3 linked regions of the Saccharomyces cerevisiae S288C genome follow. The protein of the gene in region 1 binds, or shares a complex with, the protein of each later gene. Each region holds a gene or a part of one and is shown on either strand. Other genes may lie near its edges.

Region 1 (9,553 bases):
GCAGCGAAAGTGTCCACCTTTAGTTGTCCATTGCTACCAGGACATCACCACTGGGCCCTTCCAGCATGCTGGAAAGATTGTTCTTAGAAGAGTGCTGTTCTAAGTAACCCGGCGTTAGTAGGGGCTAAGCCTTCTAGAAGGCCGGAAAAGGCTCAGAAATGCCTGCAGTGCAAAGCTTTTCAGGAACGTTACTAGCGCAAGTCTTCTGGCTGCTGTTTAGCAACCTCTTTGCAGGTATTTCGCAGCGGGATTTCGCAGGTGTCTTGCCTAGCGTATCAACACTTAGTAGCAGTTAGGTTCTAAAGTTAAACTCCACTTCCGTTCTTCTTCGAGTTCCTTTTTGAGCGGTTTGGCCTATCTTGTCTCATCATCTTGTTAGTGTGCGACGTTATCTGTGGGTGAGAGAGGCTATTTTTGGTCCGGTGAAAAAAAAATTTTTTCTCTGCTGAGAGCTGAAATTTGAAAATTGAGATGAGATGCGATGCGATGAGATGCGAGACCAATGCGATGAGACACTTTTCTACTTCCTTACACAGAAGTCGTGTATAGTTTTTGTACGTTGATATTAATAAAGGCTTTTCATATCATTTTGTTTTCAGGTAAACAAATCTGGCAAATCTCCACTGCTTGAGTCATTAAAACTACTCACTCAAGAAGGCATATACACGACAGTGGGTAGAGAAAAGAATATATCACTGTTCTTATTGAAGTTCCCTCGCGATGACGTTGCCGAAACTCAGTAGCGTTTCTGTTTCATCAGGACATGTTAGTGCCAACTCACATGGTTTCTCAATACTAAGCAAACACCCTCACCCAAATAATCTTGTCCATTCCCACTCACTTTCTCACACAAATGCGAAGAGCCACCTGCCTATCAGTAGCACTAGCACTAAAGAGAACAGCACGAACAAGGAGGAGGCGGAATCACTCAAAAAAAACAACCCCTCTTCTTGGGACCCTAGTGATGATATCAAGCTCCGCCACCTGAAAGAGATCAAGAACTTGGGCTGGAAGGAGATTGCACATCATTTCCCAAATAGAACTCCTAACGCTTGTCAATTCAGATGGAGGAGACTGAAATCAGGCAACTTAAAGTCTAACAAGACCGCAGTTATTGACATCAATAAGCTATTCGGCGTGTATGCGACTGGTGATGCTACCCCATCCGCGGGTACTCCGTCTGCGGAAGAAGCCGTAAAAGAGGAAGCTGTTGAGGATGAAGATATTACTGCAGGTTCTAGTGCTATCGAGGATTCTCCACCGGATTTCAAGCCATTAGTTAAGCCTAAATACATGGACAGAAAACTGATAACTCAAAGATCTACATCAACATTTTCGGACCATGAGCCACAACACACGAAACCAAGGAAACTGTTTGTTAAGCCAAGGTCCTTCTCTCATTCTATAACAACCAACACGCCTAATGTAAAGACTGCTCAGCAGACAAATCTAAGCCTTTATAACACTACTTCAGCAAAGACAAATAAAGCTGTTAATTCCAATGATTATGAGAATATTGGTCTTGTGCCTAAAATTATTATCAGGTCTAGAAGGAACTCCTTTATTCCTTCAACTCAAATCCCTCATTCAACGACGAAGACTAGGAAAAACTCGCATTCCGTAATTTCTTCTAGAAGATCATCTTTTAACATGATGCATTCAAGAAGATCATCCTTCAACTCTCACGCTCCTACGGAGCCTATTTCTAGAAGAGCTTCCTTGGTAGTTAGCCCGTATATGTCACCCAGAAGGTTATCTACATCGCAATCCGTTCATTATCATCCACAGCACCAATACTATCTTAACCCCATAGCGTCTCCCAACTGCAAGACAGACCACGCAAATGACAAAATCACGCACACGAGGACTTTCTTAGATATGCAAAAATTCGCTAATAAACACCCGTGGTCTAGAGAAGATGATGAAGTGCTACTTAACAATACGAAGGACAAACAAAACCATTTGTCGCCGCTAGAAATTTCTATTGTTCTGCCTAATAATAGATCCGAGTTGGAAATCCAACAAAGAATGGATTATTTAAAGAGAAAAGGACGTGTAAGTGGTTTTCATACAAATGAAGGATGCAAAGACGAGGAGGAGGAGGATGACATTGACCCACTGCACAAGGAGAATGGCATTAACACGCCATCGCAGCAATCGCAAAATTACGGTATGTTAGAGGCTAAACATGATAATCCAAAGTCTAGTGAGCTTTCTTCTATGACCAGCGCAAATGACATACGCAATGAGCAAGATGAACTTCCAGGTATAAATTCTATCTTTAAAAATATATTTTAAGCTAAGAGACGAATTTAGTTTGTTTTGACTATTCGTTTAATGAGTACAAATTAATCGCACCCACACATGTACACACACACATATATATCTTTATATATACACATAAAATTTATTCGTAGGAGAATTCTGTAATACTATTGACTACAAGGGTTCTTATTGCTATTAATAATGTTACATGTATATGCTTATATCCAATATATACCCATCGCCGCTTATTCTTCGTCATCCTCTATTAGAGTTATTTTTCTTCTTTTTCTGACTCTCTCCTTCCTTATGTGGCTTTCTATATCGTTTTCATCCTGCTCTTGTCCTTTTCTCTTCCCATCCTCATCATCATCACTGTCTTCTTCATATGTGTCTTCCTCCTCATCATTTTCTTCTGATATTTGCTCATCCTCAATGTCATCATCAAGGGTAAAGTCTTCGTCTTCGTCTTCATCTTCTTTGGCGTTTTCACCTACATATAATTCAGTATCTACATCGTTTTCTACTTCATCCTGCTCTAAACTTGATATTCCAGTATCGTTTCTCCTAGCTGCATGATTTCCAAGTGGTGTTTCGGAGTTTTTAATAGTGAAGCAGAGCTCCCAATGAGTTTCTGTACTAAATTTTGATCTTGGTATCCCTTTGCGATCATGGATGCTTTCCAGCACTCTTTTTTCCGCTTGATAGATTAATCTATCATTATTTGTGTTCTTATAATCACACATATACTCTGTTAAGGAGGAAACAGTGTCTTCAAAAAAATCAGTAGCAGGTACTTCCGGTTCTATGATATTGTTTACATGAAGCTTGGATGTTTTGTGCTCACTACTTCTTCTTCTTCTTCTTCTGCGTTTATTATGTGCTCTACTGTTGTTATAGTTTTCTATATGTGTGTTATTCGAAATTACCGGAGCCATAGTTTCATTTGTAAGAGCTTCGTCCGCTAATGCGGTGGGTTCTAAGTTCATCATCCCATTTATACCAAATGACGGCCCTAATATAATAGGTTCCCACAATAGTTTGTCATATTTGACGCGAGGATAGTTTTTTGAGCTCCAAGTTTTGTAAATATTTTCAATCCTGTTCCAAGAATCGATTTTAATAATATAGTTGAAATCATCCAAACTGGATAATGAGCGTGTTTTATGGCGATACAAAACTTGAAGTTGTTCCAATCCAAACACAACGTCTGTTGGTATCATTCCTGTTAGTTTAGCGATATCGTTTAGGCTAACCTGCTGAAAAGTATCTTCATTTTTATTATTTGATCGACGTCTAGCACTGTCTCTTAATTTTAATAGCACTTCAGCACATTTTATCTTCCAAAACGTTCTGTAAGTCAATAATCCTAAATCCGACAATGGTTTTTCAGGAGTTCCAAATTTTGACTCCTTTCTGGATAATAAATATGAAAATTCCATCAAAAACTGACCATATCCTTTCCTCTGGTATATGGGTAGAGTTAAAATACAACTTAGGTTATAGTCATTGGAGTTGAATTTTTCCTTGGAGAAATAGCCTACGAAATGGAATTTGGCTGCGTTTTGATAGGGATGGTTCTCTGTATCCTCTCTCTCCGTTAGAATATAGAATATAAACGGTTCAACATCGTAATACAAAGTCTTAGAATTGATAAAACATTTTGCCAACAGGCAAAGATTTTGACAATACAAGACATTCTCCCGCCCATCAATTTCCCAAACAGACAGCTTACCGTCGCGATAAATTTCATTTCCGGGGGGCTTAAAAGTTAGACACTTTAGTTGGTGTCTATAAAAAGTATATCGAGAAGTCATATATTTTAGGCAGAACTCACATATAAAAACCATTTTATTTTGGTTGATGTGTTCCGGAAAAGGAGATGTATACCAAGGTTTAATTTCATAATTTCGAAGAACAATGTATTCTATCTGGGAAAACCACACTTTATTTTTGATTCTTGGTACTTTCCCTTTCCTTTTTTTCCTATCTTCGTTTTCTTGATCGGTTTCATTATGATTGCAAAGTGATACGTTACCATTAATGTACGTTGCAGACTTAGAGTTTTCTAAAAATGTAAGAAACTTTATTTTATCTTCCCAGGTGGGTAAAGTTCTTTTTGTACTGAAATCTTTCATTTTTTTTATTGTTCCGCCGTATGGTACGTACCATTGCCAAGAATCGTTATCCCTGAATGGCGTATTATCAGAAGAATATGGGTACTCCATGTTTTCGGTTGCTAGATCCCATGTTTGCTTTAACCTGTTAACTCTTCTTTGAAACCCGATTAGAGGACCGGATGATGTTATATTTTTGTTAACTAAAGGTGCTATGACTGAAGATTTAGATATTAGTCTTTCAAAATTGAAAAATTTGATAGAATCATACTTAATTCTAACCTTCAACTCCTCGCTGACTTCAATATTAGGTTCAATAATGGGGAAACTTACTGCTCCCATCTTATTGTCCCTATTAACGATATTTTGAGAAGAATTTTCTGACGCAAGTTTGGACTGCTGGGAAATCAACCCTTTTTTTATTTTATTAAGGCCTTTATCAGACCGAACACTTCCTCTTATTCGATGTGATATACTGGCATCGGAGTTGAATAGTCGTCTTGTAGTTCTATGTCCATTTGTATCGCTTCTGACAAATTGAGAATGTATCAGATCATCGATCTCTAAGTTTTTCAATAATGCATTTTTTTTGGGTTTTGGCGATTCGTCGTTTGCTGTTAATGACATTATCTGCAAATTATACGGAGACTAATTAATGAAGAAGGAAGAAGAGAGAGGGCGGTATGAATAACACCTATGAGAAAAGAATAGCAATGCTTTTCCTTTTTTACCTTTTATATTCGTTCTTTCTTCTTTTGCCTCTTTTAATATGCTTTGTTTCTGTGCTATTTTCCCGACTCTTTATTTCAAACAATGAAGCCCCCAATTAATCAAGAACCACCAAAATAGCATGTCAGTTGAACACTCAACGACTAAAAAAACGAATAATTTCTTGTTCAATTGGCCTGAACGTTTGACTATGAAACTTTCTGCTCTTCTCTGATCATTGTAAACAAAGAAATGTCAATAAATTATTGTTACCCGACTTTCTATATACTACAAATACCGCCAATGATGCAGTGAGCAAGATATCAATTAATGCAAAAACAATATCGAGTAAGGTAGAAACATCTCTGTGATTAAACATCGTACATATAAATACCATATATAAAAGTATGTGGGAAAAGAACGTTCAAAAAAAAAAAGTAAGTAGTAGGTTAAAAATAAAATCTCAAAAGAGGGAAAAAAAAAAAAGAGGGATAATTTTGGCTTGATTACATTGCGTTACTTAAAGTAGCCTCATCATTCATTCATTATCATCGTTTCATCGACATTAGGTGACGTTTCTCAGTAAAAATTAACTTCATCATGATCATTAATTTCATATTCATATTCGGTTATTTTTTTTTTTTTTTATATTTTTTTTCAATGGTGTTTTTGATGGTTTTTATTATATATATATATTTTTTTATCTTTTATCTTGTGTAAGCACCCCTCATTACTTGTATCGTGCGATATACAAATACCAAACAAACTCTATAATCATAGAATAATGGAAGTATATATTACCATAGATTCTTCTTGTTTTGGTTTTGTAAATCCAGTCCGCTTAAAGAACGATTCAAGCCCTGTTCCAAGCCATCATCTAGTCCAGAGTGACTCAAAGATTTATAGATCAAGTCGGCACTATTCAAATTGTGTGCGGACAACATGGACTCATCGTGATAAGACTGATATGAGAAATTAGAATGTACTGAGCCATTTGTGTGCTGTGGAAGCAGTTGGGACTGTGAGTTTGCTGAAGATGGGCCGTTAAGGTTGTACAACTGCTGGGAAGACAATGAAGCATTTTGGTATGCCACTGGTACCCGTTGTTGAGTTTGGGACTGTGCTGGTGGTTGCGCTTGGGATAGGGTTTGGCTGTTGATTGGGATTTGTGAATTTGGAGGTGAAATTTGAGAATTTCTCAGTAAGGGATTAACGGAATTGATTTGATAATGGTTGGCAGAATAACCGGATGGAATTCTTGAGGATGGTGTTAAAGTAGCTTGTTGTCTTAAAAAAGATTGTTGTTGTTGCGCAGCTGACTGAACATTTTGCTGTGTTTGTGGTTGAGGTTGTTGCGGTTGGTCTGCGGAATTGTATTGAGAACTATGGTGTATGTTCATTTTAGGTGAGGTTAGTGTTGGTTGCATGGAGAATTGTCCCTGTGAAGAAATTTTTGGTGTTGAGCTGGCGCTATTGTTATTAATGATGACATTGTTACCGTTACCGTTATTACTGTTAATAGTATTGCTGTTGGAAGAATTGTTAACGGCCTGATTGCTAATACTATTCGCTGCAGCTGCTGCATGGGCCTGTAACAAACTTGTATAAGATTGTGACCTATTCATGGAGCCGCCAGTGGAGTTTGGCTGCAAAGGATGAGCAGATGTCATTTGACCTTGTTGTTGCAAATGAGATTGTAAATTAGCATGATCCAGAATCTTTCTTCTGATAATAATAAATCTTGGATCATATACTTCTACTAGCCCTAAGTACGAGCACAAAACATTGATAATTCTCTTGTGGGAAGCGGATATACCCATGGGATAAGCCAACTCGTAATAATACTTTTCTCTATCCTTAAATAACAATAATTGGGAATAAATTTCCAAAGTGTCAGGGTCATTGAAGTCCAGTTGTTGGGGTGGGAGAGGCAAAGTGGAAGTTGATGGTAAAGGCGCATAAAATCTCTCAGTGGACATCTGGGCTTGATTATTAACGTTTGTTTGGTACAACGATGAAGAAGTATGTTGGGCAGAAAGTGAAGGTTGGTTCAGAATGATGTTACCACTATTGTTGTTATTAGAACTGTTATTGTTAATGGTATTATTCATTGGACTGTTCATCATGCTATTAGCATTAATGCCGTTCATTAGAGTCGAGAATAATTGATTGTTAGAAGTATTATTGTTTCCGCTTCCACTCATTTTAGATAAAGAATCCAAAGAAAGATTAGATGACGATCTGTGTTGTTCTTCTAATTGTCCTCTTTTCTCTCTCTTCTCCCTCTCGATTCTTTCTCTTTCAGCTTGGGGAAGCATTTTTTTATATTCCACTTTCAATTTCCTCCCGCTGATTTCCTTTCCATTCAAAGAAGTTATCACTTGAGTAGTTTCTTCAGGAGTGGTGAAATTCGCAAAGGCTAGTCCTCTGAAAATACCGTTATCAAAGTGGTAATTGAAGGCATAAGGAAGGGGAAGATCCATTTCTTCAATAATGTCTAACAATTGCTCTTTTTTAATAGCAAACGGAATGTTTTTAATAACAATAGCATTTGGGATAACATCATCGTCCAAAGCACCATTGGTGGGGGCATTATTCAAATTTGTAGAAGAAACGTTTTGTTCGGCATTTTTTGCAGAGTTCTCACCAGTTTCCGTTTGCACACCGTTTTCTTTGTCAATTGCATCTCTAGTTTCGATAGATTGCTGATTTGTTTCCTGGTCATTAGTCTCCGTATTTATATTATTATCCTGAGCATCATTGATGGCTGCAGGAGGAGCATTCTCAAAAGAACTGGTCTCCATTTCTTATTGTTGTTGAACACGCTTTCCCTAGTCTGTAGCCTGCCTCTATGAGTACTATATCACACTTCTTCTTGCGCTAATCTCCAAAGACCTGCTGGTAATCTCAGCTGAAAGGCTGCCTTTAATTGTTATTCTTTTCCAGGAAAAAATCGCAAAGTTGCAGCATCCGTGTTTCGTGACATCATTGAAGGTTACCCTAATCTATTACCTCGGATTAACTTGAATTAATAAGGACACACAGGTATAGGGAAGGTAAAGTTGAAGTAATGATAAGAAGTGGGCAGCACCGAAGCAGTTTATCTGAACTAACTTCTGTACGACTCGAGAATATAGTAAGAACACCATCATTAACCTGAAAGTTAAAAATGTCAGACCCTGTAGAGTTATTGAAAAGAGTATGTAGTAGGGAAATATATCAAAGGAACAAAATGAAAGCTATGTGATTCCGTAATTTACGAAGGCAAATTACTAACATTGAAATACGGGAATTGATATTTCCCGTTGTGTTAAGGCTGAGAAGAAGGGTGTTCCTTCATCGGGTTTCATGAAATTGTTTAGCGGTTCTGATTCATACAAGTTTGAGGAGGCTGCTGATCTTTGTGTCCAAGCAGCCACCATTTACCGTCTAAGAAAAGAGTTAAACTTGGCAGGAGACTCGTTTTTGAAAGCTGCTGACTATCAGAAAAAGGCTGGTAATGAAGACGAAGCAGGAAATACCTACGTAGAGGCTTATAAATGCTTTAAAAGCGGTGGAAACTCTGTGAACGCCGTGGATTCATTAGAAAATGCTATTCAAATTTTTACTCATAGGGGGCAGTTCCGGAGAGGTGCTAATTTCAAGTTTGAGCTTGGAGAAATTCTAGAAAATGATTTGCATGACTATGCAAAAGCTATAGATTGCTATGAGCTCGCTGGTGAGTGGTATGCCCAAGACCAGTCGGTAGCATTATCGAATAAGTGTTTTATCAAATGCGCAGATCTAAAGGCTCTTGACGGTCAATATATTGAAGCAAGTGATATATATTCGAAGTTGATCAAGAGCAGCATGGGCAATAGATTGAGCCAATGGAGTTTGAAGGATTACTTCCTAAAAAAAGGGCTTTGTCAGCTAGCTGCTACTGATGCAGTCGCTGCTGCAAGAACTTTACAAGAGGGTCAAAGTGAAGATCCGAATTTTGCGGATTCAAGGGAGTCAAATTTCTTGAAAAGTTTAATCGATGCTGTTAATGAAGGTGATAGCGAGCAGCTAAGCGAACACTGTAAGGAGTTTGACAATTTTATGAGACTAGATAAATGGAAAATTACCATTTTGAATAAAATTAAGGAGTCCATCCAGCAACAAGAAGATGATTTGTTATGAACGGCATATACTTACGCGCACATACATATATACATATATATTATAAATGTAACACTTGTTTTACCCGAAACGGCGAAGTAATTGTGTACCGCCGTGCACCTTTTCCTCGAGATAAACATATAGCGATGACTTAGAGAACAAAGTAGTATTAGTATCATATACTTCCAACGTTAATCAAGCGCAATAAACCTTTGTTCGTGTGTTTCAAAGTTATTGCAAGAGCGAAGTTGAAGCCATCTTTTCACGAGAAGTTAGCTGTGGTTCGAGTCTGTCGCACGCCGTGTAATGTAAGGATCTTCCCT
Region 2 (2,934 bases), on another chromosome or scaffold:
CAAGCTTCTTGAAGAATCGAAAGGTCTTCTCGATGTTTGAAAGTTTGGGGCAGCCAGAATTTCTAAAACGGAGGATCCAATAATTCTATGAAACAATGAAGATTTGAATGAACGAAATTTAATCAGGTTTGACCAAAAATTCAGCCATTTATAGGAAAGGGATAAATGGTTCAAATTGTGAATGGAAACTAGGCAATCCTTTTTGATACAAATTGGAATATCTGGTTGAACAGTGATAGATGCAATTTTACCATTTTCGTCTACTAGCCTGAAACGGGAAGTCGCAATATCCTTGCTTAAGTTCTCGATATATGTCCTTTCTTTAGTTACGACATTACTCTCCGTCTTGGCCGCTTGTGGGCTCAAAAGAGAAATTGATCTCTGCCAAACTCGAGTATTCACCCTTGGGCTTATCATGATGGGTGGATATCCTTTTCTGTGCTTCTGTTTTGTTTATCTGTATCCGTTTATTCGCCAGCCAATAAAATGACTGGGAGCACGGGACCTTTGAAATTTTGCCCTTGTTAGTAAATCGTTATAAAAATACTTATATAGATATTTTATAGAAAATGAAAAATAAAAGAAATAGCCAATATGTAGGTATATCGAACTTAAAGGTCACCTGTCGAAATCATTTCCTTCTTCTCTCTTTTTCTTTTCAATCAGATGTTTTAGAGCGGTCAAGCAACGTAAATACCAACGTGTGCTATCGCATTAGTCGTTTTGTGATTGGCCATGCTGCTGCTTCACGTACGTAGCACTACTTAATGAAAAAATACGATCATTGTTATTGAATGCAGAATCTGCATGGCTGTGGTGTGACTTGGAGAAGGTATCAAACCCTTTTATGATGTTACCAGAATAGTGTGATTTTGACCCATGGGCTCCCCCATGACCTGAATGGTTGTTATTACTATTGTGTGAGAAATACTCGGTCTCTTTATCATATATCTCTTGTTGTAAGTTGTCAAAGGTATCTTCTTGCTCTCTTCTATCTTGGAGGGACTTTTTTAGTTCCGCTTTCAATGCTTCATAACTTTTCAGCTCATCAGTCATTTTCTTCTAGGCGTAGGTTGGTAACAAACGGAAAGATGATGGAAAATGGCTGTTCTCTAAAGATGTTTATCTTACGTATATTCTTTGCTTTCGTTGTGGCTTTACACACCTTTAATCATTAATTTAATGGCATAGTCGGCAAGTTGTTGAAGGACCTGGGTTAATCGCCTACATGTGAGGTTTTTTTAAAAATATCAATTACATTTAAAAAAGGAAAGCAGTAGTACCAAAAATCGGGCAAAAAAAATTTACCTAAATAAAGGAATGCATAAATGAAGCCGTTTAATCTTTGTATTTAATGAGAATATTACATATGAAGGTCTCTTGAGAAAGCATCAATAGTGGACATTAGCTACCTTTTAAATAAATGAACGGGTATGTCACCCATGGGTTCAAACTCTTCATCATCCTCGTCTTCACTGCGTACTTCATCGTATTCGTAACCCAAATTTTCTTTTATGTAATAGTGATCTTTCTTACTTTTCCTCTTTTCCAAAAGGTCATCGAATTCGTCCTCTTCCATATTCATTTGATTGAATTTGTTAAGTATTCTTTGTAAGAATGGTGTGTTCTCCCCAGCAGTTGCCGTGGTATTAGCATTCTTCATAGTATTCCTTGGGGGTAGCAAGGGAGGACCCGATGTTGGAGTTGATTCTGAACTACGGCTTGGAGCAATATTTTGCATACGTTGTGACCGATTAGGCGGAGGGTTCGGTTTACGATTGGGTAGAGTGTTATTTATGTTGCTATTAACATTATTATTGGGCTTACTAAAAAAATCGTTTATACTCTTTTTTCCCTTGAGCATATTTGGTGAATTATTTACGTCCACAAATGTCTGTTGAATTCTTTTGGTAAAAGTAGAGAGGTATTCACTTGGGTTCTGGTTACCTAATTTCTGTTGTCCATTTCGGGGCAGTGTATCTTTGAACTGTAACTCTAATTGTTTTAATTCTTTTTGGGCGACCTCTAATTTGAAACTAAGTTCATTGATTTCTCTGTGTTTTGCAGCTAATTTATATATTAAATCTTGGTCTGTTGAAATCGGACTTGCGTGGTCGCTCACGGGTGACTGATTTGTCGTAGATCTTTGCGGACTTGATATAGGTATAGCAAGTCTTTTGGGCTTTAAAGGTGTCGTAACCCTTGGTGATTTTGATTCAGGCTGCACTTCATGTTGTTTTTGATGCGGCTGTTGCTGCTGTCCTTGGGAGTGTTTATCGACAATCGACAGCTTATGTAATTCAATTGGTTGACTAATTACACGCTGGTCTTCTGACATTACTTTAGGGCGTATGTATGGATGTATTTTGTATTGCTTTTGGCTAGTTAGTAGTATTCCTCAATCGTATTGTTTTTGATTTTGAAAAAGCTAACGATAAAGGTCAGGAAAAAAAAAGAAAATTGTATGTAAAGGAATGTCTGGAGAGAGTTACACAGGAACAGAAAGGTCCAGCAACGGTTTCTACAACCAATCATGGATGTTGATATAGGATGTTATTTTGAAGAGAAACGCTATGACGACAAACTGTTAGACTTCATCAGATATGACGTTAAAACACCTAAAAAGACTAAATATATACTACAAAGGCCTACGGCGACAGATGAAGAGAGTGTACGATTACAAAGGTTTTACCAATTAGGAGTAGATCTAAAATTGAAGTATTCCAAGCGGAGGTCATTGAAGAAGCAAGGGCGGATCAAGAATGCTACTGAGGAATTGCTGCGATTAGCCAATGAACAGTTGAAACTTTTCAACAGAATAGTAGAAAGAGAAACCAATTGGATAATTTATCCGCTGTGGGTAATGGCTAAACAATTAATTCGTCTGGCAAACGAATCTAGTGAACTTAATAAAGACTCAATTGAGGAATGTGG
Region 3 (3,486 bases), on another chromosome or scaffold:
ATATAGTCATTACAATCTATTTCTATACTATACTCATGTTTATGGAAAGTTTCCGCGGATGAAACAAATATGTAATGCATCAACGAAACAGATGGTATACAATTTGACGAGCATGTCGCCACATGAACATACTTGGAACTTTTAATCAGGCGTAACAGGTCTTTTGGTATTTGTTCATTGAGTTTCATCTTTAAAGGCTTGAGAGATTTGTTTTTTTAAGGTTTACTTTCCTTTGCAGAATGTTGCATAATTTTCACTATCAATTATACGTTTTTCAGATCAGACGCCTGCAACCCTAATTTTCGCACTCTGAACTTCGTATTTATCGTTTATTCAGTATAGAAAAGGAATATCAAATTTGAAATTCTAGATAATATTTATATATATGAGGTATCTAGAAGTGCGTTAACATTAGTGTTAACTGGGCTGCACCCACTTGTGACGTTTAAATTTCTGTCCCGGGCCTTTATCGTTTCTAAGCGCTTTGGTACGTCACAAGAGTACGCCTGATATTTTGTTGTGACATTACGTGTATGACTTATTAATACAATTTTTATGGATGGATAATTAAATCAATTTAATATTACCATTTGATGAAAAAAAGAAGGGAAACAAAACAAACGGTAAAACACTGTTTATTTGAAATGAAATGAAATGAAACAATATTGGATATTGAAACGTTGATATATTGAATTGATTCAATAAGTATTATTATCAAGGCGTAGGTAGCGCTTGCAACTTTTCTTTCTTCAGTTCTGTGATTAGGTCTGCCCAGGACAGTAAAATTTCTTTACAAAGTGGGTGAAATTCGCCTAAGTCAGGATCATTAACAATTGCTTTCAGTAGCTTGTGTAATTTGCTTTCGCGTAGGGCCTTCAAATCAAAAAAGGGCCGTTTGGTGTCAGAATTCTCATATATTCTATTTAATAGTTCATGAGTTTCCTTGATCTCATGCTCAGTAGGAGGTGTTTCTCTCTGGATTAGATTTCTTTGAATCCTGCGGCGAAATAACTGTGAAATTTCTACTCTTCTGGAATAGTCTAATTTAACTTTCTTTTTATTGCCACTGTTTGATTTTCCTCCCGAATTAGCTGTGGGTCTCTTTTTTTTGGACGGTTTGATGTTCGGTTTGCTTTCTTCTTCATTTGATTTCTGGTTATCTTCCGGATCTTCTTTGATGGATATTGAATTTTTTTTTCTTTTATTCACTACTTTTGTTCGACCTACAAAGGGATCTTCTCCGGCAACGATTTTAGAACCTTCACTTTTCTCAAACGCTTTTAGATCACTTAACCTGTTTTCTTCTTCAAACTTTTCTTGTAAAAATACGTTGAAATCATCAAAATTTTTTGCTTCCTTATAAGCATTGACCAATTCCCTTTGGTTTGCATTTTTACTATGTTCTAATATGAAATTGTGAATGCTGTCTTGATCTAGCTCCTTTAATCTACTGGGTTGTTCCCAATAATAAGTTGGATCGTTGAAAAAACAAACAGCAACACAATTGGATTTTCTCTTTCTATATACATCGTTTCGCAGCAAACGCTGTGGAAATACTACAGCTGGCCAAGGTGGAAACGAGCCAACTTTGCATAACACTAAATCGCCTGTTCTAATATCTTTTGTCATAAACTTGCGGACCAAACCAGGGATAGCTAATATCACAAAAGAAATGGAAGTAAAAACAGAAAAAAATAAAAGGGAAAAAAAGCCAGGAGGAGCAACGACTGTAGGTCCTAAAAGAATGCTTGTGAAACTTCCAATATAAGCTTACCAGTAGTCAACTCACAATATGCAATAACAAATATCTGAGAGAAAAATAGATATGTCCAAATCTCTCTGCAGAACTTAACGAAACGTATATTGATATTTTAGCCCCTTTGATGTATTTTTTACAACAGAAGCAACTTTTGTTTATTTACCATTGATTGATTATTCTAGAAAATCAAAAAAAAAAAAAAAAATAAATAAAATAGAAAAGAAAAATACTATAATTATTACCCGCCATTGGATGTTTCAAAGTTCAATTAAGAACAGCTTACCGTAATGTAAATGGAGAGAGACCTTGTTTCTTCCGTATTGTACCAAACTATCAATCTGGAAGAAATCAACACGCTATTGCAGAGTTTTTTAATTGGGGAAGTTTAAGCCATTTTCATTGATAGGTGGTTGAAATAAGGTTATCATCCAAGGCGACTGATAGGGTTTTAAAATGTCCGAATAGTTTAATTTTGCTGCTACTCACTTTACAGTGCGACGTTATTTCTTTTATCTGTTCATTCCCTGACACACCGATGTAACTCTGAGGATTTATCCTACAAGTTATTTTTGTTATCGGAACATGCAGATTGTAAAGATCAGCTATTGCAAATTGGTGAATACAAGTGCCCTCAGAATCGCTCAGTCCTGCTCACACATAAATGCAGACGTTATTATGCTTTCTTGAAGTAAAAATTGATGATTATTAGTTGAATAGTAGTCGCTTTTCCGAAGATGTTACTTGTTAAAATAAAAATCAATTATAACCTATTGACTAGTATTCTCACTACTAGTATACTGCCATACACAATGTAAAGAGTATAACGTAAATGAGGAGTTGACACGAAAGAATTGATAACGTGATGGTGTTGGAACGAAACCCTATCATCATCTATTGACCAGTGTTCATGTTACAAGTGTATTATCATATGCGGTATAAAAAGACGACATAAAGATTGAGAAACAGTCATCTGACTTAATGGAAGCTGAAATGCAAAGATTGATAATGTAATAGGATAAGTAAGCATATAAAACGAAAGGAAAAATAATTGTAATATTATAGTGCAGGACTACCGATTCCACTTTGAGGATTCATATGTCCTCGAGAAGAACTTCAGCATATCCTGCATACATAATGTTATTGCCTTTATCAACTATGGAATTTTAACAATTATCACAAAATTCACCTAGTTCTCAGATCTTTTTTCCAACGATTACTACTGAGGATTGTTTGCCTTAGTTATCGTTCAAATGCTGTTAGCTATTTCCCTAATTAATAACAAGTGCTTGAGATGTCTTATATTTATACTACAGGTTATGGTTTTCGTGTGACCTTGTTTTGACGTCCTTTTCATGGTCTCTTGGCCCAGTTGGTTAAGGCACCGTGCTAATAACGCGGGGATCAGCGGTTCGATCCCGCTAGAGACCATTATTTTTTTTACTTTAAGTAAATAATGGGCATTACTAATGGAAGACCTATATGATGTTTTTTGTTCTTCGAATCCTAGGTATTTCAATGTAGTACAGCAATAAAGGTCTGAAACATGGTAACATATTGATATGTATGATGCTACATTAAGAGATATGAAAAACTATAAATTTTTTTTGAATGTTTTTAACGAAGTTCTTCAGGCTCCGTGTAGGAATTATAAGTTGTGAGTTGCTTCAGTGGTGAAGTGTCGTCAGCAATTTTATTCTCCTTAGAATTTCTTTTCAATTTATTACCAA

The links. Proteins that work in one complex are often made in the same cells at the same time.
Region 2: SAS3 (region 1) and EAF6 share a complex: the UniProt entries of both Saccharomyces cerevisiae proteins name them as parts of the nuA3 histone acetyltransferase (HAT) complex.
Region 3: SAS3 (region 1) and PDP3 share a complex: the UniProt entries of both Saccharomyces cerevisiae proteins name them as parts of the nuA3 histone acetyltransferase (HAT) complex.

What each region holds. Positions count from the first base shown.
Region 1 is NC_001134.8:116,869-126,421, forward strand, and holds SAS3 (histone acetyltransferase), read right to left. Parts: upstream 5,007-9,553; coding exon 2,511-5,006; downstream 1-2,510. Other genes in the region: TOD6 (Tod6p), read left to right, coding at 721-2,298; PIN4 (Pin4p), read right to left, coding at 5,885-7,891; alpha-soluble NSF attachment protein SEC17, read left to right, coding at 8,257-8,286, 8,403-9,251. UniProt on the Saccharomyces cerevisiae protein: Catalytic component of the NuA3 histone acetyltransferase complex, that acetylates H3K14. The NuA3 HAT complex has 2 functionally distinct forms.
Region 2 is NC_001142.9:581,200-584,133, forward strand, and holds EAF6 (Eaf6p), read right to left. Parts: upstream 1,057-2,934; coding exon 715-1,056; downstream 1-714. Other genes in the region: YJR079W (uncharacterized protein), read left to right, coding at 1-40; AIM24 (Aim24p), read right to left, coding at 1-417; ACF4 (Acf4p), read right to left, coding at 1,409-2,338; YJR084W (uncharacterized protein), read left to right, coding at 2,534-2,934. UniProt on the Saccharomyces cerevisiae protein: Component of the NuA4 histone acetyltransferase complex which is involved in transcriptional activation of selected genes principally by acetylation of nucleosomal histone H4 and H2A. The NuA4 complex is also involved in DNA repair.
Region 3 is NC_001144.5:1,051,772-1,055,257, reverse strand, and holds PDP3 (Pdp3p), read right to left. Parts: upstream 1,630-3,486; coding exon 715-1,629; downstream 1-714. Other genes in the region: YLR456W (pyridoxal 5'-phosphate synthase), read right to left, coding at 1-188; FMP27 (Fmp27p), read right to left, coding at 3,374-3,486. UniProt on the Saccharomyces cerevisiae protein: Histone-binding component of the NuA3b histone acetyltransferase complex. Targets the NuA3b HAT complex via histone H3K36me3 to the coding regions of actively transcribed genes to coordinate transcription elongation.